2 linked regions of the Daphnia pulex genome follow. The protein of the gene in region 1 purifies or fractionates together with the protein of each later gene. This does not show direct contact. Links are inferred from orthologs where the notes say so. Each region holds a gene or a part of one and is shown on either strand. Other genes may lie near its edges. The genes, in order: cell cycle checkpoint control protein RAD9A-like and replication factor C subunit 5-like.

Evidence for each region.
Region 2: the proteins of cell cycle checkpoint control protein RAD9A-like (region 1) and replication factor C subunit 5-like purify together in Homo sapiens (affinity purification with mass spectrometry; 3 studies listed by BioGRID and IntAct, with this or other methods). This does not show direct contact. The link is inferred for Daphnia pulex from reciprocal best matches to the Homo sapiens genes RAD9A and RFC5.

The regions. Positions count from the first base shown.
Region 1 is NC_060026.1:14,699,109-14,703,364, reverse strand, and holds cell cycle checkpoint control protein RAD9A-like, read right to left. Parts: upstream 2,823-4,256; 5' UTR 2,615-2,822; coding exon 2,581-2,614; intron 2,511-2,580; coding exon 2,287-2,510; intron 2,228-2,286; coding exon 2,063-2,227; intron 2,004-2,062; coding exon 1,900-2,003; intron 1,840-1,899; coding exon 1,615-1,839; intron 1,546-1,614; coding exon 1,352-1,545; intron 1,296-1,351; coding exon 976-1,295; 3' UTR 804-975; downstream 1-803. Other genes in the region: squamous cell carcinoma antigen recognized by T-cells 3-like, read left to right, coding at 58-205, 276-368, 436-764; lipopolysaccharide-induced tumor necrosis factor-alpha factor homolog, read left to right, coding at 3,274-3,367, 3,450-3,517, 3,579-3,673, 3,740-3,848. UniProt on the Homo sapiens protein: Component of the 9-1-1 cell-cycle checkpoint response complex that plays a major role in DNA repair. The 9-1-1 complex is recruited to DNA lesion upon damage by the RAD17-replication factor C (RFC) clamp loader complex.
Region 2 is NC_060019.1:3,436,391-3,440,947, reverse strand, and holds replication factor C subunit 5-like, read right to left. Parts: upstream 3,058-4,557; 5' UTR 2,833-3,057; intron 2,768-2,832; 5' UTR 2,713-2,767; coding exon 2,622-2,712; intron 2,547-2,621; coding exon 2,463-2,546; intron 2,392-2,462; coding exon 2,348-2,391; intron 2,251-2,347; coding exon 2,088-2,250; intron 2,019-2,087; coding exon 1,859-2,018; intron 1,788-1,858; coding exon 1,651-1,787; intron 1,582-1,650; coding exon 1,507-1,581; intron 1,126-1,506; coding exon 1,048-1,125; intron 980-1,047; coding exon 819-979; 3' UTR 751-818; downstream 1-750. Other genes in the region: pyruvate dehydrogenase [acetyl-transferring]-phosphatase 1, mitochondrial-like, read left to right, coding at 1-81, 248-571; kinase suppressor of Ras 2-like, read left to right, coding at 3,469-3,642, 3,702-3,987, 4,049-4,297, 4,359-4,512. UniProt on the Homo sapiens protein: Subunit of the replication factor C (RFC) complex which acts during elongation of primed DNA templates by DNA polymerases delta and epsilon, and is necessary for ATP-dependent loading of proliferating cell nuclear antigen (PCNA) onto primed DNA.

The sequences.
Region 1 (4,256 bases):
ACTTCCATAATTAAATTTCCTACGCTTGTCCGTTAAATTCATTTAAAACTATCTTAGGATGAAGCGAGAGCAGTTCTGAAGCGGGACCGTGAGCTCATGAAAGGACGACCGGTTTTCATGTCTCCAAGCGAACCGGACGCAGCATTGAAGCATCCAGCTTTCAAGTACCAGTCAACATTAGAAAAGAAAAAACTGTTTATCAAAGGTACGTATTTGCGATCTTTAGGTACGAGCTTAATTTGTTTTTATCCCAAATCTATTTGATGTTATAACAGGCTTAGCTTTCACTACTACTAAAGAAGACTTGGAAGCTCTGTTTAAAAAATTTGGAATTCTGAAGGACGTTCGATTAGTAACGTTACGGAACGGTAGCGTTTAATAATCTAAATTAAATTTATTTTTTCTTTACTAACTTCTATTTAATTAAATATAAAGGAAAGCCCAAAGGTCTGGCTTACGTTGAATTCGAAGATGAAGTTTCAGCGACGATGGCTATGAACCAGACAGACGGAACTACATTCCAGGACAAAGTTTTGACGGTTGCGTTAAGCAATCCACCTCCACGTCGCGAAGACAGAAACCTGGACAAGGATGAACTATCTTTGGGTGGCGGAACACGGGTAAGGAGAACGCAAGTGTCGTTTGTTCCAAACGCCGTCCTTCGCCAGACATCTCAGTCTTCCACCATGCCGCCACCCGTCAGTGTTCCCGCCAGTGCTTCGAAGAGCAATGCCGATTTCCGGTCCATGCTTCTAAAGAAATAATTTGAAAATGACATTGAAATGGCACGAATAAATAAAAAATGGACTGATCAACATTTAATGGCACTTTAACTTTTGTGATCATTATATAGGATACAGTGATGTACCGTTACAAAATTCTGACACAAAACAATACTGAGTTAACTCGGCGAAAGAAAAATGTACAAAATCGTTGGATGAGGGGAAAGCCGGGAAAGGGTTATTTCGTCTCTTGCTATTCATCTTCCTCTGAATCCGGAGCAAAGACTTCAGTTGGTCGCTCTCTGTATTCTTGTGTTAACTTGAGACAATTCTGAAATATGTAGCGAGCCCGAGCTCTCTTATTAGGAGGTGGTTGAATTTCGGGTTCCAAATCTACTTCCATATCAGGAAACGGATGGGGCTCGATAAGAGATAGACTGTTAAGACGTGGGGTATGATCCTCGTTAACAGGCGTTTGTCGTATCAAAGGTGTGTGTAAACGAGTGTGTGTCGTGCTTGCACGAGAACCGTTCCTAGAATCGACCAAATTGGCACGCGAAATGGTCCTGGAATCTAGAAAATTCACGAGGAGAGCAATGTATGTCAAGATCCTGACTTCCCTTTCAAGCCTGTTTTGTTACCTGTTTTATTCCTCAGGGTAGGGACAGGAGACGGATGGTTGGAGGTATTGCCTTGTACTGACATTTCGTGTTTGGCAGTTCGCGAACTAATGGATGCCGTAGTGTCCAGAGCAGGCGTTAGAGTTGCAAGGAGAAAATCTGCTGAATACAAGTCATCCTTTTGTAGACTGAACAAAACAGGCCTGGTAGAAGGAATTCCGTAAATAATCGATGCAACTTTTGAATCACAAGTAAAATGAAATATTGCTTACTGTCCGGCGCCTTCCATTCGACAATCAAGATCGAGTTTCAGGGCTTCTGCGAAGGCCAAAATAGCTCGTAATTCCTTCAAGCAAAATGTAACTTGAGTACACAGAGCGACGTTAAATTCAATGAATTCATCCTTGACCAACGTGACTTCCGTACGAACACATTTGGATGGGTCTATTTCATCATCAATATGGTTACTCAAATGTACTTGATCCATTGCAAGGGACCTTGAAAGAATAAACGAAATTTGAGGTTATTTAAACATGACAATTATGTTGTTGGATTACCAAGTAACTTCTTGAGTGCTTGAATGAAAACTTTGAAGAGTTTCATTGTAAAAACGTGAAGAGCAGGAAAATTTACTGGGGTAACCCTCCTTAGAGAATTCTGCCTATGAATTTTTAGGTTATTTTCATTAAAAGTCTGGCGAGACCAAATCAAAGGACTTACTTCAACACTTTCACATTCAAAGTATCTTAAGTTGAAGTACTTAACAATTCCATGTTTGCACCTGAACTCAATGATTAACAGAGCCTCAAGAAGTGGTAGCATTATCTTACATGTTTCAACTGATTTTTCCAAGCTTCCGATCGACCTAAATACAGACAAGATGGACTGGAAACAAAACATCATTGTAAACACACAATACTTCACATTAAAGTTATTTGTCAGACCTTCATGGGAAGTTTACATTTAATCACAGTATCTTCTTCTGGATCAGCGTGAACAGTATTTTCACTTATGTGCGTGTAGTCAAGAAAAAAAGGTAGGTGAAAATTGAAAGCTGAATAGGCAGATTTGGAAGCATTGACGGTCTTCAGAGTTAATCCATTTTCCATTGGTGAAATGTGCAATTCATCACCTATCTTAGCCAATGAGTGTATGGCTCGCGCCAAAACTAAAGAATAAAAGAAAGTGTTTTAGCTTTCAACTGCTTTAGTACAATCAAATGAAACATCATGTCGTACCCTTAACACTGGTTGCATCCAAAAGACATTTCATTTTTCTTTACTTCAATGTAAATTTAGTTGTTTGCACTAAAAAAAAATTCGAAATGCCGCCAGAAATTATATCGGTAACCCCATGTCCCGGATAACACGTTTAGAATGTTTAGCACGCAGACGACACGGAAATGAATTTTTTCAAGTATGCCCCGATTGGCTGTTGAGATTTTATCTTCACTGAAGATGTAAACAAATGAAACAAGTGACGAGCGTGACTCGTATTATTTCGGCCACATCTGCAAGTCACTGAAACTTGATTGTACTTTTAACCATAGATAAAGAAGACGGTCTTATCTGCTGAGGTACTTCAAGGAAATTTTTTTTCCCCTTGATTTATCAATGGTTTTCAATTATAACATTCTGAAACATTGGAAGACTTTCAATTACATCAGCTTTTCCGCTGTCCAATTCCTGCTGATTACATTCTGAAAAGTCATGGGGCGGAGCTTAAGAACAGCTGTGTAGTGTTAACTAGAGCACAGAGTGTAAACGTTTGTGAATAACTTACTTGTACTGCATGACTTTCTAAGGTAATAACAAATAAAATTTAAACTCTTTCATGATTCAGAATACAAAACATTGAAGTTAATGTTGGTCTGATATTCTGATTACCAATTTACCAATAATTCATTGGATTCTCCATAAACTATTTCACAGATGAGTAAACAAGGTCCTCCTCCAGCTGCCCCTCCTTCTTACATGGAAGCAGTGGGTGGTGTTAATCCATCAAGCCCCTTTACTCCTCATCAAAGTAAAGCATTTTTTTAGTATTTTAACTTTTAATGGGAAATGTGCCTCACATTCAAAATCACAATGTTTATCTCTTTTAATAGATGTAACCAACCAGCAGCCTATTATTGTGACAACCGTGATACCTGTTGGACCCGGAACAACACACACTGTTAGTTTTTCCCTCCACAGTTAATTATATATTTTATTTTCTCTATCTTCTTTCTTTACAGGTCTGTCCACATTGCCATGCTGAAATTGACACTTCTGTGCGTACTGAACCTGGTCTGATTGCCTGGCTTTCTGGAGGTCTTTTAGTTCTATTTGGGTATTACACAGTCAGCAATTTCTTAAGAGTTACACATTGATATAACACATATATTTTTATTACCAGATGTTGGTTGGGCTGTTGCCTTATCCCCTGCTGTATTCCTGAGTGCATGAATGTTCATCATGCTTGTCCAAATTGCAAAGCATACTTGGGGAGATACAGCCACTTTTAAGCTAATGTTCTTACTATGAAGAGGCAATTGGTTCTTTCTGTGTGTTAAATTTCATATTCATTTTTGGCAAATTTGGTTGTTGCATCTTGTATGCCAAAATTTACCTTTTTCCTAATTACACGAAGCTTTTCAATTTCAAAATTTCAAACAATAGAAATGCTGAACGTTGTATTATTCGTACCTTGCTTCAATATCTACTCCGCTTACTTATTAAAATCAAAGATACGCCGTGTTAATTTTATCACCAAAATTTATCAATGAATAAACTTCGAATATATTAAAATTGTCGTTTGTAATTTAAATTTTAAATTCATTGAAAAACGTTTTGTTCGACTGGGACAAAAAACCTATATTCCTTTTCTTAACTGAATTTTTTTAAATTAATTTGAATCTTGCAGTGCCGTAGTT
Region 2 (4,557 bases), on another chromosome or scaffold:
CTTAGTCCTCGAGATAAATTTGTCGTCATTGCATCTGACGGCTTATGGGATCTGCTCTCGCCTACACAAGTTGTCCGCTTGGTAAGTAGGGCTTGATGGTTTGTTGATATTAGATCATAGTCGTCACTGGTCTTGCTTTTGAATTTGTTCAAATAATCCAGCATGTGAAAGACGTTGACGTCACGTCAGATACATCAATTTTAGTAATAACCATAAATGTAAAATTAAATTTGAATTTTGAAAATAGGTGGGAGAGCACATGTCGGGAAGAGTCGCGCTGGGTCCTCTCACTCTTCCACCGGGTGATGTTACCTTGGAAGAAATCAACAACATGCTGCAGCAGCGAAGAGAAGGATTATCGAAGAGACCATTGGACACCAATGCAGCAACACATTTGATTCGGCATGCTTTAGCTTCGACAGAAACAGGATTGGATCCTGATCGTCTCTCAGAGCTCCTTTCGTTGCCAGATGACGTTGTTAGGCTTTTCAGAGATGATATCACCATCATTGTAGCTTACTTCGACACTGACTACCTATTGAAATCTCTTCCCCAAACAAATCAGGAATAGGATTTTGCTTGTGACACAACGTATTGCGTGAGTACTCGTTCTTTATCTCTTATTCATTCATTGTATCGAGACTGTCATATTTTAATCATACCCTAGTCAGCGAGCCCTTACTCCACCTCGGCATCTGATCTGAGGTTGTTTTTGTTTAGAATGTAAATACAACTGATGGAAACACATACTATATGAATAGTTGATGTAATTCAGGAAGTACAACTCCTTACACCAGAAGAATTAGATTAGGATAATTTTAATTTACTGACACTTCTTTAGCAATTAAATATTTAATTGAATCAAAGGCAGCAAGCAAGGATCCGAGTTGTAATTTTTCAGAGCACCCCGCAGACAAACGATATTCAACATCAGCCATCTTCTCCAGTAAAAAGACTCGGACGTTCGGCGGAAATTCGACTAGACCACAAAAACAACCAAAATTAATTTAACAGTTGTAGAGCTTATTGGGGGAAAAAAAAACTTACTTTTGTGAACGTATAAGTGCGTTTCAGTTAAGATATCTTGCAAAGCGAGGCCTTTGAAAGTTTGAAGATCGCGTATTTCTATGATGAAAATAAAAACGAACAGAAACTTTATTTCTAATGACTAGGCGATAAATAACGTCTTGATAAATTTCCAGAACATGATTCTGATTAATATATACAGTCATGCCAGCCTTAGAAGGCAAATTCGTCTACGTAATTTTTTCTTGACGGAAAGGATAGTAGAATGGATACCCCGACCTCTTTCGCCAACTCATTCTTTCCTTAATATTCTTGAATTTTCCTACATTAATATTCAGCCATTTATAGGAACGATGAGAATTCTACTATCCCTGCCGCCAAAAAAACCCTCAATTATGCTGATTGCCAACTAAAAATAAGTTAGTCATGCAACCCCAGATTTAAAAAAAGCTTATAGCAATTCTAGAGCAGAAATCTTACTGCTATAAGCTGAAGTTAAATCTTCGTTTAACATCCACGAAACAACATTTGCAATATCCGATTTAAGAGGATGACCTGGCAGGATTTAATAAGAATTAAAAATGTGTTTCCATGAATCATTAGCATACATCATTTTTTTCATACCGACGCAAGTGTAAACATGATCTTCATTCACTTCATCAAAAGCCATTGAGGTGCTTTGAAGAATATTTATGACACGACGCATGTCGCCATGAGCTAAGCTCAACAAAGCTTGACGCCCATCTTCCGTGACCTTAATTCTAATTTGGAGAAAAGATTTTACAAAGTTTAATAAATGTTTGATTAGAATAGTTTAATTTTCTCCTCTTACTTTTCTTCTTCAATTACGTAATTCATCCGAGGTAAAATTTGATCTGATTTTAATGGGCCGAATCGGAAACGAGTGCAGCGTGACTGGATAGCTGGTATGATCTTACTCATGTAATTACAGATGAGACAAAACCGAACATTTTCAGTAAACTTTTCAATTACTAGAAAAAATGTATCATGAAATGGTAATGATTTATTTAATAACTAGTTGGATCTCTTTAAAATATCACCTCTTCTAAGTGCATTTTGAGCATCATTAGTCATAGCATCAGCTTCATCCAAGATAATAAGTTTGAAGCCTGATTTGAATATTGATCTTGTGCTAGCAAAACTCATGATCTGATTTCTTACAACATTGATGCCTCGGTCATCAGAAGCATTTAGTTCAAGAACCTTCACATAAAATAAAAAGTTTTAGATTGTAGGATGTCTTTGAACTAAGAAAGAATGTAATATAACATGGATATTTTAATTGTGTAACATTATTCACCATGGAATTGAATTGCTGGGGTGTATACAGTTCTTTCGCGCATGCTAATTTTGAATGAATTGATTAGTCAAATCATGAAATAAAATCTAATGTAATATTTATTGAATATTAATACCAAGAATGGTGCTTGTTTTTCCAGTTCCAGGAGGTCCATAAAAAAGTAAATGAGGTAATCGATTTTCATTTATGAACTTGCGAACTGCAAATTTTTATTAGAGAAAATGCAATGCAATGAAACATTTTTGAAAATTAATAGAATTATATAGAGAGTTACTTGTTGAAATGATATCTTGGTGAGAAATCAAGTCATCCAACTGTTTTGGTCGATATTTTTCCACCCACGGCAGATTTCCCGAGGAAGTCATTTCCGAAGAAACTCTAGATACCAGAGGCCTCTTATTATGATTATTTAGGTACTTCCTACAGATATGTTCTATAACTTGTTAGTTTTTAAATTGATTAAACTTATTAAATTAAAAACAAACCGAAATTGTATGGAACTAAATGCACGTCGTCTTCTTAGACAAGTAAAGCGCGCCTAAAGTAACTTGACTTGACACCAATGCCAATTTAATCGATTTACAAAACTAATTCCATTTAAAATAAAATAATAAATCCATACAAATAAAATTATTCACCGTATTTTACAAGACCAAATGAATTGAACAATATTTTATAACTGATAACATTAAATCACACTAAATCTCGATTCAACACCAGTTTAATTTTTCGGACCATAGATGGCTACTACACAATGCAGAAGTACGCGGACTGTAGTGGAAAAAATGGAATAATCAGTGATTCTATTGATACTGACTGACTGTAATGTATTGCAATACATTCGCTTATGATGGCATTAGTTATTGTTGTTATGGCGTCTGCGAAATTGGAACTCTGTGCATTTTCGTTCGTTTAAACCGCTTATACACCGCGATGGATTTCTAAAACATTGGATAGTCATATAACAAAGAAGTACGGTGGGTGAGGAAGCCTTTGGAAACATGATTAGTCGGGAGTCCGAAGAGCTTTGAGTGTTGACGGTTTGCGTCTGAATAATATGCAATTTCGTACGTAAAGTTCTGCAATAACAACCAAAGTACTAGATATAGATACCCTTAAGAATGGATACTGGAATCACAAAGAAAGCTGTTGTTGTGGTCAACAGCTGTAACACCATTCAAACGCTCTTAGATATCAATGCAATGATAGACATTCATGCTAAACATCTAGAAGGGTTGAGAACCCAGTGCTCTACCAGTGCTGAGTTGATTCAACAAGAAATCAGAACCATAGAGGTAAGATGTTTACTATTTAAAAGAATTTTCTGAATTAAATCATTTCAATATTTTAACAGGGTAAACTAGTCAAATTATTCAGCAAACAGCTAGTTGCAAAAGCCAAAATTCCCATAGAGGGATTACCATATGAAGTCAAAAACATTCCGTCAATCAAGCAATGGCTTCAAGTTGTTGGAATATCTCAGCCATCTGTTGAAACCTTGTGTGCCAAATTTCAATCTCTTGAATCTTTGCAAGAACTCAGTGATCATGAAATTAAAAGGATCTTCAATGAGTGTTCTGCAAAAGAAGATGAATACAGGCGCTTGATAAGAGCACTTCAGAGTGTTAAGAGATATACTGGTAAGATATTCATTTATAAAAATGTTTAACTGATCCAACTCTAAGAGCTTTGACATTGCAGAAGTTCTGGTACATAATGAAAAGGAAGGTAATAGTGGCCGAACAACACCTGACTTAGCGCTTTACTGGGATTCCTGGGATAATGCTACAAAAATGTCAATGCCAATGTCCTCTAACATACAGCACAATGACAGTGTTATACAAAATTCATCCCCCATTCAAAGTATAATAACTGCCCATGAAACCATTCCGCAAATGACTTCGGAAAACCGCAGCCCTCCCTCTACTCCATCTTTATTAAAAGGAAGAGGTAAAATACATGGAGTCGGCTATTAACTAGCGTGGTTGAAACTAATGAAATTCCAATTTAGGAGATCGTATGAAATTCCCTGCAACTCCACCACCTCGCAAGAAAAACCAGGTTATTGGTGGTACTGCGCCACTATTGACGGATTTCCCTCTTACGAAATCTACCTCCCACGAATCCCAGCTAGCCAATAGAATCGACGGAAATGATATTATCAGGTAAAAAAAAACTATTCCTTTTATTATTCGAAAATCTGAGCGCAT